Lepisosteus oculatus: one gene and its partner. The main gene of each other region encodes a partner of the protein of the gene in region 2 in a complex. Links are inferred from orthologs where the notes say so. Each region holds a gene or a part of one and is shown on either strand. Other genes may lie near its edges.

What was found. Proteins that work in one complex are often made in the same cells at the same time.
Region 1: stx4 (region 2) and sybl1 share a complex: the UniProt entries of both Homo sapiens proteins name them as parts of the SNARE complex. The link is inferred for Lepisosteus oculatus from reciprocal best matches to the Homo sapiens genes STX4 and VAMP7.

Annotation. Positions count from the first base shown.
Region 1 is NC_090703.1:47,620,225-47,627,853, reverse strand, and holds the start of sybl1 (vesicle-associated membrane protein 7), read left to right. Parts: upstream 1-4,588; 5' UTR 4,589-4,741; intron 4,742-6,387; 5' UTR 6,388-6,512; coding exon 6,513-6,658; intron 6,659-7,558; coding exon 7,559-7,616; intron 7,617-7,629. Other genes in the region: polr1d (DNA-directed RNA polymerases I and III subunit RPAC2), read right to left, coding at 1,685-1,761, 2,121-2,218, 4,070-4,111. UniProt on the Homo sapiens protein: Involved in the targeting and/or fusion of transport vesicles to their target membrane during transport of proteins from the early endosome to the lysosome. Required for heterotypic fusion of late endosomes with lysosomes and homotypic lysosomal fusion.
Region 2 is NC_090699.1:15,298,339-15,306,278, reverse strand, and holds the start of stx4 (syntaxin-4), read right to left. Parts: upstream 3,032-7,940; 5' UTR 2,873-3,031; coding exon 2,843-2,872; intron 1,335-2,842; coding exon 1,221-1,334; intron 517-1,220; coding exon 417-516; intron 1-416. UniProt on the Homo sapiens protein: Plasma membrane t-SNARE that mediates docking of transport vesicles. Necessary for the translocation of SLC2A4 from intracellular vesicles to the plasma membrane.

The DNA.
Region 1 (7,629 bases), on a different chromosome or scaffold from region 2:
GAGCAGAAGCAAAGCTCTCTGCATGGCAGCAGAACCCAAAAGAAAATTACAACCCGTCATGAACAAAGATCGCAGATCCCTGAAACGGTCTTTCTCCAGGTACCATTTTGCTCTGCAGCCTATATATCCATGTGTTCCTCATAAAATGCTTTTGTCAATTGCAACTGCAAACCTGTCTCCGTGAAGGACCGTACGGGCAGCACCAGCTCCCGAGACAGAAGAGAGCTGGAGAGAGAGAGAGAAAGAGCAGGAGCCAGATTCCTCACACAGCTGTCTGAACAACAAGCACCAGACTTCAATCAGCCATGTCGGCTCTGGGGTTTTGCACATTTAACAGATAATTGCCCTGCTTTTTTTATGTACTGCCAGAGCAGCAGACCCGGGGGTTGGGACTGTTCTTTTAAAAAAAGCCACATAGTCAAGACTATGTTGTTTTTCTGTGCATAAATTAGCCTCAGAGCTGGGGGGAAAACTCACTGCACAAATAAAAGCAGACCAGGATCACCAGGTGATCAGCTATACTCTGTGTCTTTCTGCAGGTACATGATGCTCTACACTTGTTCTTTGTATTTTTAGATGACCTCTTCTACTTGGACGGTCATCGTTCTGGAGCTGGGCTGGGGGAAGGTGCTTAAGGGTGTACAAACTGTGACAAATGCGCTGCTCCCAGACTCTGGGAACAACAGCTGGTCGGCTCCTGCAACCCAGCGTGTAACAGATTGAAAACGGAGGCCCCTCTATGGACCCCAGTTAAAAACCCATTATCCCTCTTCCTGCTCCAATGTGCTCCTCTAAAGCAGCTAATACAATTAGGAGCAAAAGGCGGTTTTGTTTCTGTGGTCCTGGGCTTCCTGCCAGAAAAAAGGGCTCTGCTCCGAGGCTACACACTGTCACCAGGGATCGTTTCATAATCTAATTTTAAAAACTGAATTCTGCCCCCACTCCATAAAAATGAGCAGAACTATTCACCAAAACAAAAAAGACTGAAGGGACCACGGCACTGCGACACAGTGAAAGGCCTTTTTCTGGCCGGTCAGGCTGTCACTGTGGAGCTCACGTACGCAGAGCAGCCAAAACACGCTCATGCAGCTCTGCTGTGCAACCTCTCCAAGAAGAGCACCAGGGACATCAAAAAGAAAAAGCCAAAATAGCCATTTCCCAACTATGGAAACAGACCCCATTATCTCTCTCTGCGGATAATAACCGTCTGCTGCAGAAGGAGAGAGAGAAGGGCTGGATCCACACAAAAACACTTGTGATGCCAATATTAACACAGGGCTCCACACAAAGAAAGCCGACTACCACATAACCAAGAACAAAGCTTGATTCACGCTGCTCAGAGGAACCGGTGTCTTCGTGGGCTTTCCTGGCAGGTGGGGAAAGTCTCTGCAACAAACACGCCACAGAGCGTCCCACGAATGAGGGGGAGCTGTGGTGTTTGGGAGCCCCCCAGAGACACACATTTGCCTTCGTCCATTTTCGTGGACCCCCATTTCGATTTAACATGCCAGCCTTCGGTGAAATGAAACAGCAAGGGGATTAAGAGCACAAGCAAAAACTAGATATTTTTTGCGACGTGCAGATCTGAAAATTGTTTTTTTGTTTACAATTTCAGATTGTCCCCGTGTCACCCGTCAGGAGTCTGAGATCACACACGCACGCACACACGCACACAGGCACTCACCTCGTGTCTGGATCCGGAAGTTAATCTTACTCTCTGAGGGGTGAGTGATGCTGTACCCACAGAACTCGACTTCGGGGCTGTGCAACACAAAACGCACATGAACCCGGCGGCTCTTTAACACGTCATTGACTATTTTCAACACAGCGACACACGACAAACGTAGAGGTCGATGCAATTGAAGAAATACTCCACTGCACAGCCATTTAAAACATTCCGGGGTTTAAGAGCTGCAGTCTCCCACACGTTAAGGCTGTGCTTGATACCGGAAGTCCGAAAAGCTGTTTTGAGCTCAGCCATGTATCAAGTTAACATATTACAGTATATGAAACCAAAGAAACCATCGGTACAAAAGCCAGCGGCCAGTATATCTGAAAGCGATTGTCAGAGCGCTTGTGCACCAGGACTCGGGACCTCCAGACAGAGAGGGGAAACTCACTTTTTCATGACCATGTAGCGCAGGGCATTGCCCAGAGTGTGGTCCTCGTCGTGCAGCACAAACGTCACACAGGAGTCATCCCCGCCCTCCGCCTGCACCTGCGGAAGACAAAGGGCACCGCGGCAATCAGGACCTCTCGGAAATCACCAGGCGGCCAAAACGACCTGCAAACAGGCTGGGTGAGGCGACTCGCGCTGGTGTGCGCATCCTGAGCGGAAGTCTGTTCGCCGACCACGTCTGTGTAAATGAAATGGCGTCACCTTGCTTAAGATGGGCAAAATGTGGCTAACGCACTTTAGGGATACACGATAAAGTGCCCATCCTGCTGTATCCTGGCATTTTTGCAGTTTGGATCCTTCTGCTGCTCCTTTTTCAGGACAACAAGGCCACACTCTTGCCCAAAGCACCAGGATCTGCATTTAATAATCAGAGTGCCGAGCAGCAGTGTGAAACCCTGATGGTGGGATGTCTCGATCACTGTCCTTGTGGCCCCGCTGTCTGATGGCATGACTCTTACTCAACCCTTGGTCAGCCAATCAACCCCTTGTTCGGGGCTCATACCCGGATTCATTCAATCTTTTTGATTTCTGCTCTGAAGCAGTGAGAGAAATGAAAGGCTAGGAGCCGAAAAACCAGGCTTCACAATTTCCCAAGCCGGACGATCGATGAAGGGCACGATGAAGGGGGAGCCCGGCTGTGGAGATACCCAGAAGACTCCTTCGGCTCACGAGGAGCTGGAACGGAAAGCCCAGTAGTAAGCTGACAAGCGCAGCGAGCAAGCTTTCATAGCGAGTACTGCGGCGATTAAGGATGAGGTTTTGAGGAGGGAAAGAGAGGCACCTCTGGGCCTAAGAGAAAGGGCAGAATTCAGGTTTGGCTGCAGCTCTAGCCTGCCTGACTGGAGCTGCACGTGAGGCCTCTGTGATCCCCTGTGGTGGAGCATGTCTTTTTCACAGGAAGGCCTCTGTCTGCCCAGACAGCTACAGAAACTCTATTCCCTGCTCCCACTTTTCAAGACAACATTCCAAGTCATTTTTAGGAAACGTGGAAAAAAAGAACACTATGTACTTAAAAGCAAAAACAGCTAACAAAACATGTTTAATACCTTCAGCTCTTTTTCAACGGGAGATGGAATTCAGCCTTTTTTGTGTGAAACTGGGAAATCTGGGTGTTTGAGCTGGGTGGACGTGATAATCCCCGCAGATCGCAGGAAGAAATCACAATTATAAGGATCTGCTGGTCAGCGGCAGCACTACCTCCGGGTGCCCCCTAGCTGGTAAAAGGTGGTATCGCCGAGAAAAATGAAAACACTCTAGAAACTTCACAATTTCACACAGAAATAATTCTGCAGCGTACAACTCTCCATCGTCTGGAAAGTTGTCCAGACATACAAAGTCTCCCTAGTGTGACAGAAACCGTACTTCATTTTCATTTTATCCAGCCGATAACGAAATTATTTTTGTTGTTCGTCTTATCCTTCAGATATTTTTCCCAAGACGCTTAAGTAGGTTATAGAGAACAACTGGCCATATGAAATATAGCTAGTATACCGTTTTAGGCTACGGGAACAGTTAGCTTAGACAAGGACTGCCATAAACCCTGCTTTCTCAGGTAGTGGTCTGTTTTCTGGGGGGTTTTGAGAGTCGCGCGGTAAATATGGGACATGAGATAAGATTTCGGAGAAACAAAACTCGCTAAATCCCTGCACATGATGCTGCAACTGCTCCTTTCAGTAAGATTTTTCACCGAAATCGGTTCGCTCAAGGAAATCACAGAATTTCCCCAACTGACAATTGCCAGAGTAGACACGTTGATGCCAAGTTCGCCGTGACCGTATTTTAATTTCAAATACCAGACGCAAATCACACCCCACTCCTAAAATAGACTATGGGCTTGTGCATTGAGTTTATCGCATTTTCATTTAAACGGTCACTCAGAACAGTACTCACCACTTCCAGCACAGGTCTCTTCTCATCCTCACCGGTGGCCATGCTTGTTACCGATCTCCTTTGGCGCACCAATGTGACGTATTAGACAGGGCAGCGCAAGGAAATGTGGGTAATGTAGTGGAATTCCACTACACGGACGCCTTCTTAGATTGTCTCGTTTCTAAAATGTTTACTGCCAAGGCACAGTGAAACAATGTTACATCGATTGTAAAATCCACTTTTTAAAATCGACTTACAGTTACATAGTTAAAAAAACCTTCTAAAACAAGAACCTTGTCGTCCCAGAGAATACAAACGGGGATTAGAGTGAACTGATTTAAACGGATACATCAAACTTAAAAGTTTTTCTAACTTCCGAATGATGCCTTTAAAACCGCTTCACTCGCTCCTTACGTGTTGTTTTGTTTGCAGTAAGTTAATTTCCAAAGGCAGCTTCGAGTCAAATGTTATATTTTGAGCCCGTAAAGTCTTTTTCCCGCAGCAGAGGTTGTAAACTACAAGCCCCATGATTCCAAGGGACAGACGAAAGTGGTCCGTCAGAGGAGCACCAGGTGACTCAGAACTGGGAATTAAAAACATACGTACGGACGGGAAGGATTACGGAAATATACGCTGTTTTTTATTTTAAAGAGGGCCGTTCCGAAGGTAGTTTTCACGGAAGGCGATTCAGAGGTACAGTACGGGGCACGATTAATGGCGGTGTGTTACGACGGCTGTATCGTTGCAATCTACGGCGTATGACATGTCGGAGAAACGGAGGTGTCTGTGTGTATAGAGGTCTCCAGAATTGAAAGAGAAAGCTGACAAAATCATGTTAGAAGAGCTTTTGGGGGGTCCACGCGGGCTGTCTAAAACACAGCGGAGGTCGTTTAGGAGCTATTGAAATAGACTTTAGAATATGCTCTTATTCTAAGGTAATTCATGTTCCGAGCTCTGGCAGATAACGCGGCTTAAAGTGGTACCGCAGTGTAACCGACACTGTTGAACAGTCAGTGTGAGACTGTTAACACGGTCTGTTCCAGCTACATGGTGAAGAGCTGATGGTGAAATCGGCTCTTGTGGTTACAAGACGGGGGGCTGAAACGATTTGGGAACTTAAAATACTCCTTTCCGGATCGGAATGACGTATAGTTTGCAGGAACATGTATTTCTGAAATCAAACGGTTTTTTTTGGGGGGGGTGCATTGGAAAAAGTGTTGTTTAAATTAGCACGGCGTCGCCGGCGTGCGCGCGCGGCTGAGCGGTGGATCCCGGGGCAGGTGGGCAGTTAGCGTGCGTTTGCAGCCCGGAGTGAGCTGAGGTGTGGGATTCCAGGGCCGGTGTCTTCCGTTCGCGTTACACTGGGCAGCTCTGAAGCCCGGAGACGGGTGTTAATCTCAGCCGGCGGTCAAATGCGCTTGTAAAGGTAGCCGGCCTGTTTCAACAGCTGTATGGGAAATCCTGTAGCCATACAAATGGAATTTTGTATCCATACAAGTGGATCAGGTCGGATCATACCCCCCTGACCAGCGACCGCACGCACCTGGGCGGTCGGTGTGCACAGTGGCACGCAGCCAGACACTGCCCTCCGTCCTCCAAGGTGAAGCTGGAAGGGTTTACTGGCCCGCTAGTCGGTACCTGTGCTGTGTTCAGAGCTGTATCACATGCCTTGTGTCACATGAGCATTCCTGTGCCCCAGTACACACCCAATGGGGTAGAATGGCTTAGTGCGCTCGAGCCCAAGCAGGTGCTGGGTGAGCACTGTGAACCGTGGACCGGGGGCCAGTCCGATTCATGACTGTCGAAGCTGGTAGTCAGCCTCGGGTGACATTTGAGGGCTTCTAACCTACAGAGCGCAGTAGTGGGAGTGGCAGGTCATGGGGAGGGGCAGATCTCACTGTAGCTCGACTGGCTGCTTCCCTGTTTTGTGACGCCGGAGGCCCGGGTTTGATTCCCCAGCTGGCAGGGCGCATACCCACGTGAGCCCGAAAGCGCTACATTACTAGGGCGGAGCAGTGGTACTGTGGCTAAGGATCTGCGCCTGTGGCTGGAAGGTTGCCGGTTCAAATCCTGTGGCCGGCAGAGGAATCCTACTCCTACCCTGAGCAAGGCCCCTAACCCCCAACTGCTCCAGGGGCGTGGTATAAATGTCTGACCCTGCGCTCTGACCTCAAGCTTCTCTCCCTGTCTGTGTGTCTCATGGAGAGCAAGTTGGGGTATGCGAAAAGACACATTCCTAATGCCTAATGGCCAAATTCCTAATTGTATATGCCAATAAAGTGATCTTATCTTATCTTACCCTCACACCTTTCTCCTTCTGTCTTGTGTCTCTGATGCAGTCAAGTGCCCCAGCCTCGCTTTCCGTGCTCCCACCCCACTCGCACGCTTGCGGGCTGCTTCCCAGTGGTTTCTCCTCCGCAAGCCCCCCCCCGTCCTCATCACCCCTCCTCCTGCTCCTGTTGCCATGGCGATCCTGTTTGCGGTGGTGGCGCGCGGCACCACGATCCTGGCCAAGCACGCCTGGTGTGGCGGGAACTTCCTGGAGGTGACGGAGCAGATCCTGGCCAAGATCCCGTCGGAGAACAACAAGCTGACCTACTCCCACAGCAAGTGAGTGTCCCTCCCGTGCCGGCCACCAGGGGGCTCTGTTCCGAGTGTCTGGCTGCCAGCTTGCAAAACTTGACTTTTGGGGAGTGCAACAGCCCTCTGCTGGGATTGGAAAAGCACTCTTGCTTGATCACTTCCCTAAGCCTAACACCTTAGGAGCATTGTTTTCATTGTCAATTGCTTCTTATCCTATATCTGCCCAATTTGGAGTTGCCAGTTGTGTTGTTATGCCTAACTAACTACCTTTTACGATTAGGTTAGCTGTTCCTAAGACTCAGCCCACTGTGGTGACCCCATACAAGGACAGTGAGAAAGTGCTGGAAGGTTTCTCCAGCCCTACCCACCCGCTGTAGACTCGGCCATAACGTACAGCAGGTACCGCCTCGATTGGAGGAGAGGCGCGCGCCCTTCCTGGGCGTCACCACAGGCCTGCAGGGGTCGCTGTTTCTCCTGGGCCCGAATCATCCCACCCCCACCCCACTTGGTGCTCAGGCAACTGCGTGCCACCTGCTGGGGAGTCCAGTCACAGCCAGCTGGTTCCATCTCCCGGTCTGGATCACAGAGCTCAGCCTGCAAGTGCCTTTTTCCCACTCGGGCACCTTAAGACCATTTTTTTCCACGTAGCGCAATCCTCACGGGGCTCTGTGAATAATTCAAAACCAAGAGTAACGGATGGCTCAAATGCATACTCAAAAAAGTGAATTTAATATTCACCCTGGTTTTTAATTCCAAGCTGGAACGGCGCTGCGTGGATCAGCCAGAAACAAGAGCTTCTCCAAGCTGCCTCTTGAGGAGCGTGGACAGCTGTCTTTCAGTTTCCGCTTCAGCAATGCTTACCTAACGAAGCCTGAGTGGCTGCCTGCGTGCACTGTTTTCACTTCCCCTTCTCCCCTTTCTTTGCAGCTATCTCTTTCATTACGTCTGTCAGGACAGGATCATTTACCTGTGCATCACAGACGATGTGAGTATCCCTG
Region 2 (7,940 bases):
GTTTGGTGAAGGGGTAAATAAATTGCTACATCTGTAAATGAGGCATGGCCTACGAATGCATAGCCAAAGGATCCACTCCTGGGTTTTACCAGTGGCAGATATTTGAACCAAGACTGCAGCCTCCAAATGCATAGCAGGTTGATCCAGTTCCAGGTTTTGTAAGCTGCTAAGCTTTTCGACTCCGCCACATGCAACAGCAACTCCGCGAGAGCTGGGCAGACCTTCATCCTGCAGTGCTCATCCCCTAGAACAGAGCACCATGCCGCTCCAGAAACACGTCATCACCGCGCACTGAAAGAAGGACGCTTCACAGGCGCCTTCTGAACCGGAGCTCTGACCATCCGGAAAGGAAGGAGCCGAGTCCCGTTCCGCGTGCAATGTCGCACGGGAGTGTCCCGGGGGAGAAGCTTACTCACTTTCCTCAGGCAGGGCCACTCCCAGTATCGTCCTCTGCTTGACCTCCAGGCTGTTGACCTTCATGGTGAGAGCGGCCAGGCCCTCGTGGATCTCTCTCACCTGCCGGACAGACACGGGGTCCAAGAGGTTAGTGACCGGCGCCCCCACAGGACACGCAGTCCCCCGATTTATTTATAGGGGGCGGTGCTTTTCCGACCCACTGAACGATTCTATCTTCCCAGCATGCCTCAAACGGACAGATCGCTTGTAGGTCTTCCTACACGCACCGGTAACACAGGAAGCCAACACAAGGCAGGTCACAAAAGAGAGGAGGCACATACCCAAGGGGACGTCCACTGGAGGAAATGATTAGTTTCGTTTCGCTACTTTATTGTGCTTTGCGCCCAAGGTTCTTGCGAGGCAGAGACTACTACCAGCTACTGCTCAGCAAGTCAGGCAGAGAAGAGAGACAGGGCTGCGCTGTGTGAACTAAGGGGGGAATTATAGAGAAAACCAGGAGGACGAGCCCAGAGGGATGTATGTACCCAGGACACCAGCCCCACTCCCTACATCGCTCTGCAGAGGATATTTTACGACACACTTTCAACACTGCTCAGCAGGAACTTAAATACATCAATTCTAGTTAAAAGTTCTTCTTGTGACTTTATGGGTTCGTCACACATGGAAACATCAGTGTTGTTCCTGTGGCTGGGATTCCCAGACTGCTCCAGCTTGGATTCAGACCTTCAGGGGTGACCGTCACCGAGGGGACACTAGTCCACCATAGACAGATTCTCATTAACAGGTTCAAGAGTTAAAATTACCTTCTGGAAAAATTCATCGTTCTCATCCTTGGCAGCTTTCTGTGATGTTTTCCCTGTTCCTGGCTTTATCATCAGAGGTCTGCCTTCCTCCTCCTCATCAGAACTCTCCGCCTTCTGCACACAGAGAGAGAGGGGTTCATACAGACACACTGACTGACTGGACACTCCAGTACATTAACACTGCACTGAGAGAGAGGGGTTCATACAGACACACTGACTGACTGGACACTCCAGTACATTAACACTGCACTGAGAGAGAGGGGTTCATACAGACACACTGACTGACTGGACACTCCAGTACATTAACACTGCACTGAGAGAGAGGGGTTCATACAGACACACTGACTGACTGGACACTCCAGTACATTAACACTGCACTGAGAGAGAGGGGTTCATACAGACACACTGACTGGACACTCCAGTACATTAACACTGCACTGAGAGAGAGGGGTTCATACAGACACACTGACTGACTGGACACTCCAGTACATTAACACTGCACTGAGAGAGAGGGGTTCATACAGACACACTGACTGGACACTCCAGTACATTAACACTGCACTGAGAGAGGGATTAATACACTCTTTTACTCACACAGGTGTTGGTATTAATCTGATCTAAGGGGAGTACAACACAGCACTGCAGAGGGAAACCGAAAGCGAGGAGCAACGTTCATCAGTATTTCCACGTTAATACTCTTAGGCTTTATGACAGACTCCAGGGTAGCTCAAGTTGGGACTACTAACACATCCAGAAGAAAATCACCCAAAACAAACAGCACCTTTAATATTAAATTTACCGGTATGCTTGAATATTTAATTCAAAAAGACACTAGGCGTATTAACTCACAACCTCTGTCCGCATACTGCCCAGATTAACCGAGAACCACTGACAGACTGGTACTGTCTGACAGAGGGACACTGTCCGTACTAAGCGCGAGAGACGTTTGGTGGAAAAAACGTGGAGATACTGGGCAGTGGCAGGCGATCATTCAAGTTGACATAAAGACCGTCCCTTGTGGGCGTCCGGGACAAAGTACTCTTATTCCATGCAACAAGTCGAGCTCCTTCGTCCTTTCCGTGTGAAGTTTCGTTTCGGGCTGGACGTCACTGAAGAAGACACCTTCTGTGTGTGTGTGTCAGGAGCCCCCGGACTGCCTGTTGAGGTGGAGCGCTATTTATACACCGGGCAGCCCCGGAGGGGGGTTTGGAGAAACTATTTTTTAAACAGGCCGTCGCTTCTCAGCTCCCGTGTGTTGTTTTCTTAGTGCTTCAGAACATAGCAGAAGATACAACACAGATAACAGGGAACCAGACGATGAGAGGAAGCCCAGATACGCGATTTTAACTGTCTTCCTTCTTTGTCCTTTTAATTTCAACGGGACCTTCACAAATCTATCTTTTATTATTATTATCATGCTTATTTTCCACGATCAGCGCCTCGTCAACGACTGAAGTGCAAAAAAAAAAGGACGAGGGCAAAGCTACCCCCAGCCCTTTCTCGGTGTCGATCGCGACGTAGAAAGTAGCGAGACTGTGTGCCACAACACGCCCAGGGTGCGTGCAAAGCAGACAGCCACCAGCCCGGCTGGCCGAGGGTCGGAGAGACGGGACCGCACTTACATCGCCCAGCTCTCTCGTCCGGTCTCGCATCTCGGCTGCACCCCGACCCCACTCGCATCCAGACCCGACACGGAAAACGGACTTTGCACCCGGGCTCTACGACGGCACGCACTCGACCTCCTCCTGCGCTCCCAGTAAACTTTCCTGCCAGCGGCGCTGCAGCGTGACTCTGCCGGCCAATCACGCCGCCCTCCGGGAGGAAGTCGGGCCCCGCGCATGCGCGGCCGGCCTGCGCAGGGGAGGGCGGGAGCAGGGGGTGGTCTGGGTGTCGCTTATTGTGATTCCTTCGGAATGGAAGTGATTTATTCTCCGGTTGAGAACAATTTAAGGGGGTTTAAACTATCCCTGACCCCTTTCATTAATGACAGTGCGGTAGTCATTCGCGTTGCTCGCTAGGGGGCCCTGGTGTTCCAACTGCAGTTGTTCCCAGAAGAATCATTAACGTCATTCAGCCAACGCAGCACATCACTACTCGGGGCAAAGTGTTTATAGTATTACAATCTAGCGGACTTTATAGATCGATAAAATACATAAATCAGGCGACACAACAGCGAGCACAAAACGGAGCATTTAAAAACTTGGCTCTATCCGAGGAACCGATGTTTCAGTGGTGGTTGCAGTAGTGTTTGGGTGAAACACGAACCAGAGGGCACGAGTGACAGTTGCAAGGAAGCGCATTTAAAATTCAGAGCAGGAGGCAGCATTTTACACAAAGGGTGGTGGGAGTGTGGAACAAGCTGCCCAGCCATGTTGTTGAAGCCGATACCTTGTTTCAGGACACAGCTGTATGAGATCCTGATGATCTCACTCTTCATATACTGTAGATATGCAGTACCAGTACCAGTCAAAGGTACTGTGTGAAACCAGGTTTTTCCATCATTATCTGTAGTTTAAACTGTATAAACTTGTTAATCAACACTTAATATTTAATTACATGATACTGTATGTGAACTTATAATCTTAGGTGAACTGCATTGAAAATGTTAATTTTTCATTTTCAATAAAATGAATACTCAAAGCAAGCAGTCTGAAGCCCAGGTTAATTAAAAGTCAGAAATGTGTATAACACGGTGTTAGCACACTAAAAGAAGTTTGAAATTGTCTTTGTTAGATGTTCCCACAGTTTACTAGCATGTTACCTCATTTACCTTTTGTAAAGACACACGTGATTATTATAAATATAGGGAGCATGGGCAAACGTTTGTCATTCCTGAATGAACATAGCAAAATTTGCTCAGCAAGCAAGGAAGAAACACAGTTTATAATTACTTTAAGAAATGAAAGTCAATCTTTAAGACAAATTGCAAGAACAAATTGCTAGTGTCAGTAACTGCTGTGGCCAAGACTATCAAACGATATGAAGAATCTGGCACTCAGGAGGACCGAAAAAGATCAGGCAGGCCAAAGGTGACCTCAGAATCAGAGAATACGTTCATTAGAGTCACAAGTCTGCCAAACTGGCGACTAACTGACCCTGAAATACAGGCTGAGCTCAGTGCAACTAGAAGACCAGATGTTTCAGAGGAGTTCACCTGTTCAGAGGAGGTTGCGTGAAGCTGGCCTCAAAGGTCCATTTTCTGTGTTTTTTGGCCCAGGCAGGTCTCTTCTTCTTATTCTGCACTCTTAACAAGGGTGTCTTTGCAGCAGTCTTCCTGGTAGGCCAGCGTCACACCGCCGCCTCTGAAAATGATCCAAAACGATCCTTTGCTTTGAGACTGTGTGTTTTTGTTTTTGCAAATTGAAGTGTGCTTTTCCTTCTAACGCTCGGTGTCACTTCACATCATTAATAAACCAGGCCAGTTTGTGGGTCAGCAGTTCCCACCGTGTTTCTGTTAACTACTGCGCACACACAGTATTTATCACTGCCCAGATCCACTGATCTTCAGATCTGGGGCTCTTGGCAGGACCAGGAAAGTGCTACAGAGTTGCAGCCTTCAGAGTTTTAGCCTTGCAGTTTTCAGCCCAGCCAGATCAATCAGTGAAAATCCATCTGTCACCCTCTTCCAAACTACAGTAACACATCTTTATTGATTCATGACGCAAAGTGAAAATACAATCTTTAGCGATTTCTTGTTCTTTTAAAAAAGCTGTACTGTATATATGATCATTAATGTTTTTAATTTGTGCCTGTTCCTGTTTTTAAGCTAAGGTTATTACTGTCGTTTTGAATGGAAGAGTTTACATTAAAACAGATGAGATGGAGAAAATAGTTTTATCTGAAATACTCCCATGCACACGATTCCTACGTCGAAAATACTCCAGTCCACACGATTCTTATATAGAAAATACTCCAGTCCACACGATTAATATATCCAAAATACTCCAGTCCACCCTATTCCTATATCTGAAATACTCCAGTGCACACAATTCCTACATCTGAAATACTCCAGTCCCAAGATTCTTATATCCAAAATACTCCAGTCCACATGATTCTGATATCGAAAATACTAAAGTCTACACAATTCTTATATCGAAAATACTCCAGTCCACACAATTCTTATATCCAAAATACTTATCCAAAATACTTAGTGCATATATTCCCTGTATCTGAAAAACTCCAGTCCACACTATCCCTATATCTGAGATACTCCAGTCCACACTATTCCTGTATCTGAAATAGTCCAGTCCACACACTTAATTCCCAAGTCTCCACCCGTGTCATCAGATGGTGCAGACACCACACCTGTCGTGAGGTTCTTACTTGTTAACAGTGCAGGTGTAGTCGAACAGCAGACAAGCTGTGTGTTTAGAGCGCCATCTGCTGGGATAGCCTGACTCTCTTTCTCACCCTAACCTTGGCTGGAAACTTCATCCTTCACCTGTCAAATTCAGATCTTTCTTGACATGAGTGATGAATTACAGTGCCGCCAAAGTACTACCCATTATTAGGCTGTGACAGGAGATCACACACAGGACTGCAGCTCTGCTGCATTTCCTCCCTCAGTACAGGACTGGGAGCTGTTCCTGTTCTGCCAGCTGATGGAATTCTTAGATTATTTTAGGGAAGAATGTATACTACTAGAGTATTTCTTGTAGTGCTGCAGAAAGTGCATCTCCTCTTCTGTTTTGCCTTGCTGTCCTCTCTAGGCAGCCAGGCCTGTCTGTGTCCAGTTTCCATGTCCAGTCTGTGTTCACTGAGCCTGTCCTCCCTGGACAGCCAGGTCTGTATGTGTCCAGTTTCCATGTCCAGTCTGTGGTCACTGGGCCTGTCTTCTCTAGATAGCCAGGTCTGCCTGTGTCCAGTTTCTATGTCCAGACTGTGGTCACTGAGCCTGTCCTCTCTGGACAGCCAGCTCTGCAGGTGTATTAGGCAGACCAGAGAAAAGCCCTGTACTCCGTCCTCTGGGAACGCAGCATGGACAGAGCAGTCCTGGCCCTTGTTCTGTTGGCAGGCAGCAGAGTTCCAGAGGGAAGAGAGCCAGCATCCTTGATTATAAATCAGTGTTTCCCCCAGAATACCTCTGGATATTCGATTTGAGCTTTGGCAGCGACTGAGGAACTGTTGCAAACTGCAGGCACACAGAACGACCTGGCTCCCAGCCCTGGTGACTTTCTATATTTTAATCTAGCAGGGGATTAATACGGGCTGAGGAAGATGATGACGAAGATGATGGAGATGCTGTACTTAATATATATGTATCTACAGTCTATGGAGAGTGAGACAGAAAAGGGGCGTGTGTGCTTCATCAGGTAGAGATACGAGAGAGTCAGGGGGCTAATGGAGGTGATGGCGACAGGAAGATGAGCCAATCAATCAATCCACCAACCAATTCATCAATCCATCCGTGTTTTTGACAGTTTTATCCAGTTCAAGGCCGCAGGGGAGCCAGAGCCTATTCCTGCAAGCCCAGGTGACGGGCTCGAGCACGGTCCACCCTGTCCATCACGGGACAGACAGACACAGGCTCACACCCGGGCCGGTTTTCCCAGAAGCCAATTCAGCTCCCAGCGTGCCTCTGGACTGCGGGAGGAAACCGGCGCACCAGGAGGAGACCCACACGAGCACGGGGAGAAGGGCACTGGCCGCCCTCACTGGGGGGACCCTGATGGCCCTCGGCCCGCAGTCAGCTCTGGCAGGATCTCCTGCTGCAGAGGCGATGGGGGTGACCAGCCCACGAACGTGAGAGCCCAGACTGACAGCAGAGTGCACCGTGGGACACGGCGCGCTTGAGGAAGCTACAGTGCTTCACTGAGACATCTTTCATGTCTTCTAGCCCATCGGCTCTCAGTCCTAATCCTGGGGGACGGCTCACCGATTCACTCTCACTCTCACCTATGATCTGAACCTCACAGTGCCTTCTTCCTTTCTTTCTTACCAAAAACTCAAACACACATTGAAAATCTACCTCTACCTCACATGTCAAAAGCTCACTCCCAATCATTTCTATCCCTTTATTTTCTTCTGTTGATGCATATTTTTGCACATACCCTGTTACCTTTTTGTTGTTTTGCACATTGCCTGTTGTTGTTTTTTGCACATCGTGTGTTGTTGTTGTTTTGCACATTGCCTGTTGTTGTTTTTTTGCACATCGTCTGTTGTTGTTTTTTGCACACTGCCTGTTGTCTCTGTCTTTCTTTTGCTACACAATTGTATTGTTGTTGTTGTTTTTCTCTTTGTACTACTTATGTCCGAGAGCTAGCTAAATAGCATTTCGTTATACCCTATACCATGTATATGAGTGTAATGACAATTAACTTGAAACTTGAACCGATGACTTCAGCTGGATTGTTCATTGCAGGCTAACTGATTCCAGCTTTCCTACTGCGGCGCCATTTGAACGTTTTTCGGAATCTCCCGAAGTGCCGGATGGGAGCGGTCGGCAAGCGGAACCGGGCCTGGGTCGAAGCCGGAACATTCAGAACCGCCCTCAGTGGCGTGTGTGAGCTGAATCGGACCAGCGGGACTGGAACAAAAAAAGGAAAGCGCCCGGTGTTGACACAGCGTCGTTCCCAGTCTCTGCCTCCTCATCGCCAACCGGTCTCCTGCTCTGAGCTGTTGAGGGAAATATACGAGTCCTTCATTTTCATTCTTTGCTGATTAGGCTCTGTTCTCAACAAGCTGCAATATGTTCAGACCTCTGCAGCTGAACTGCTTCTT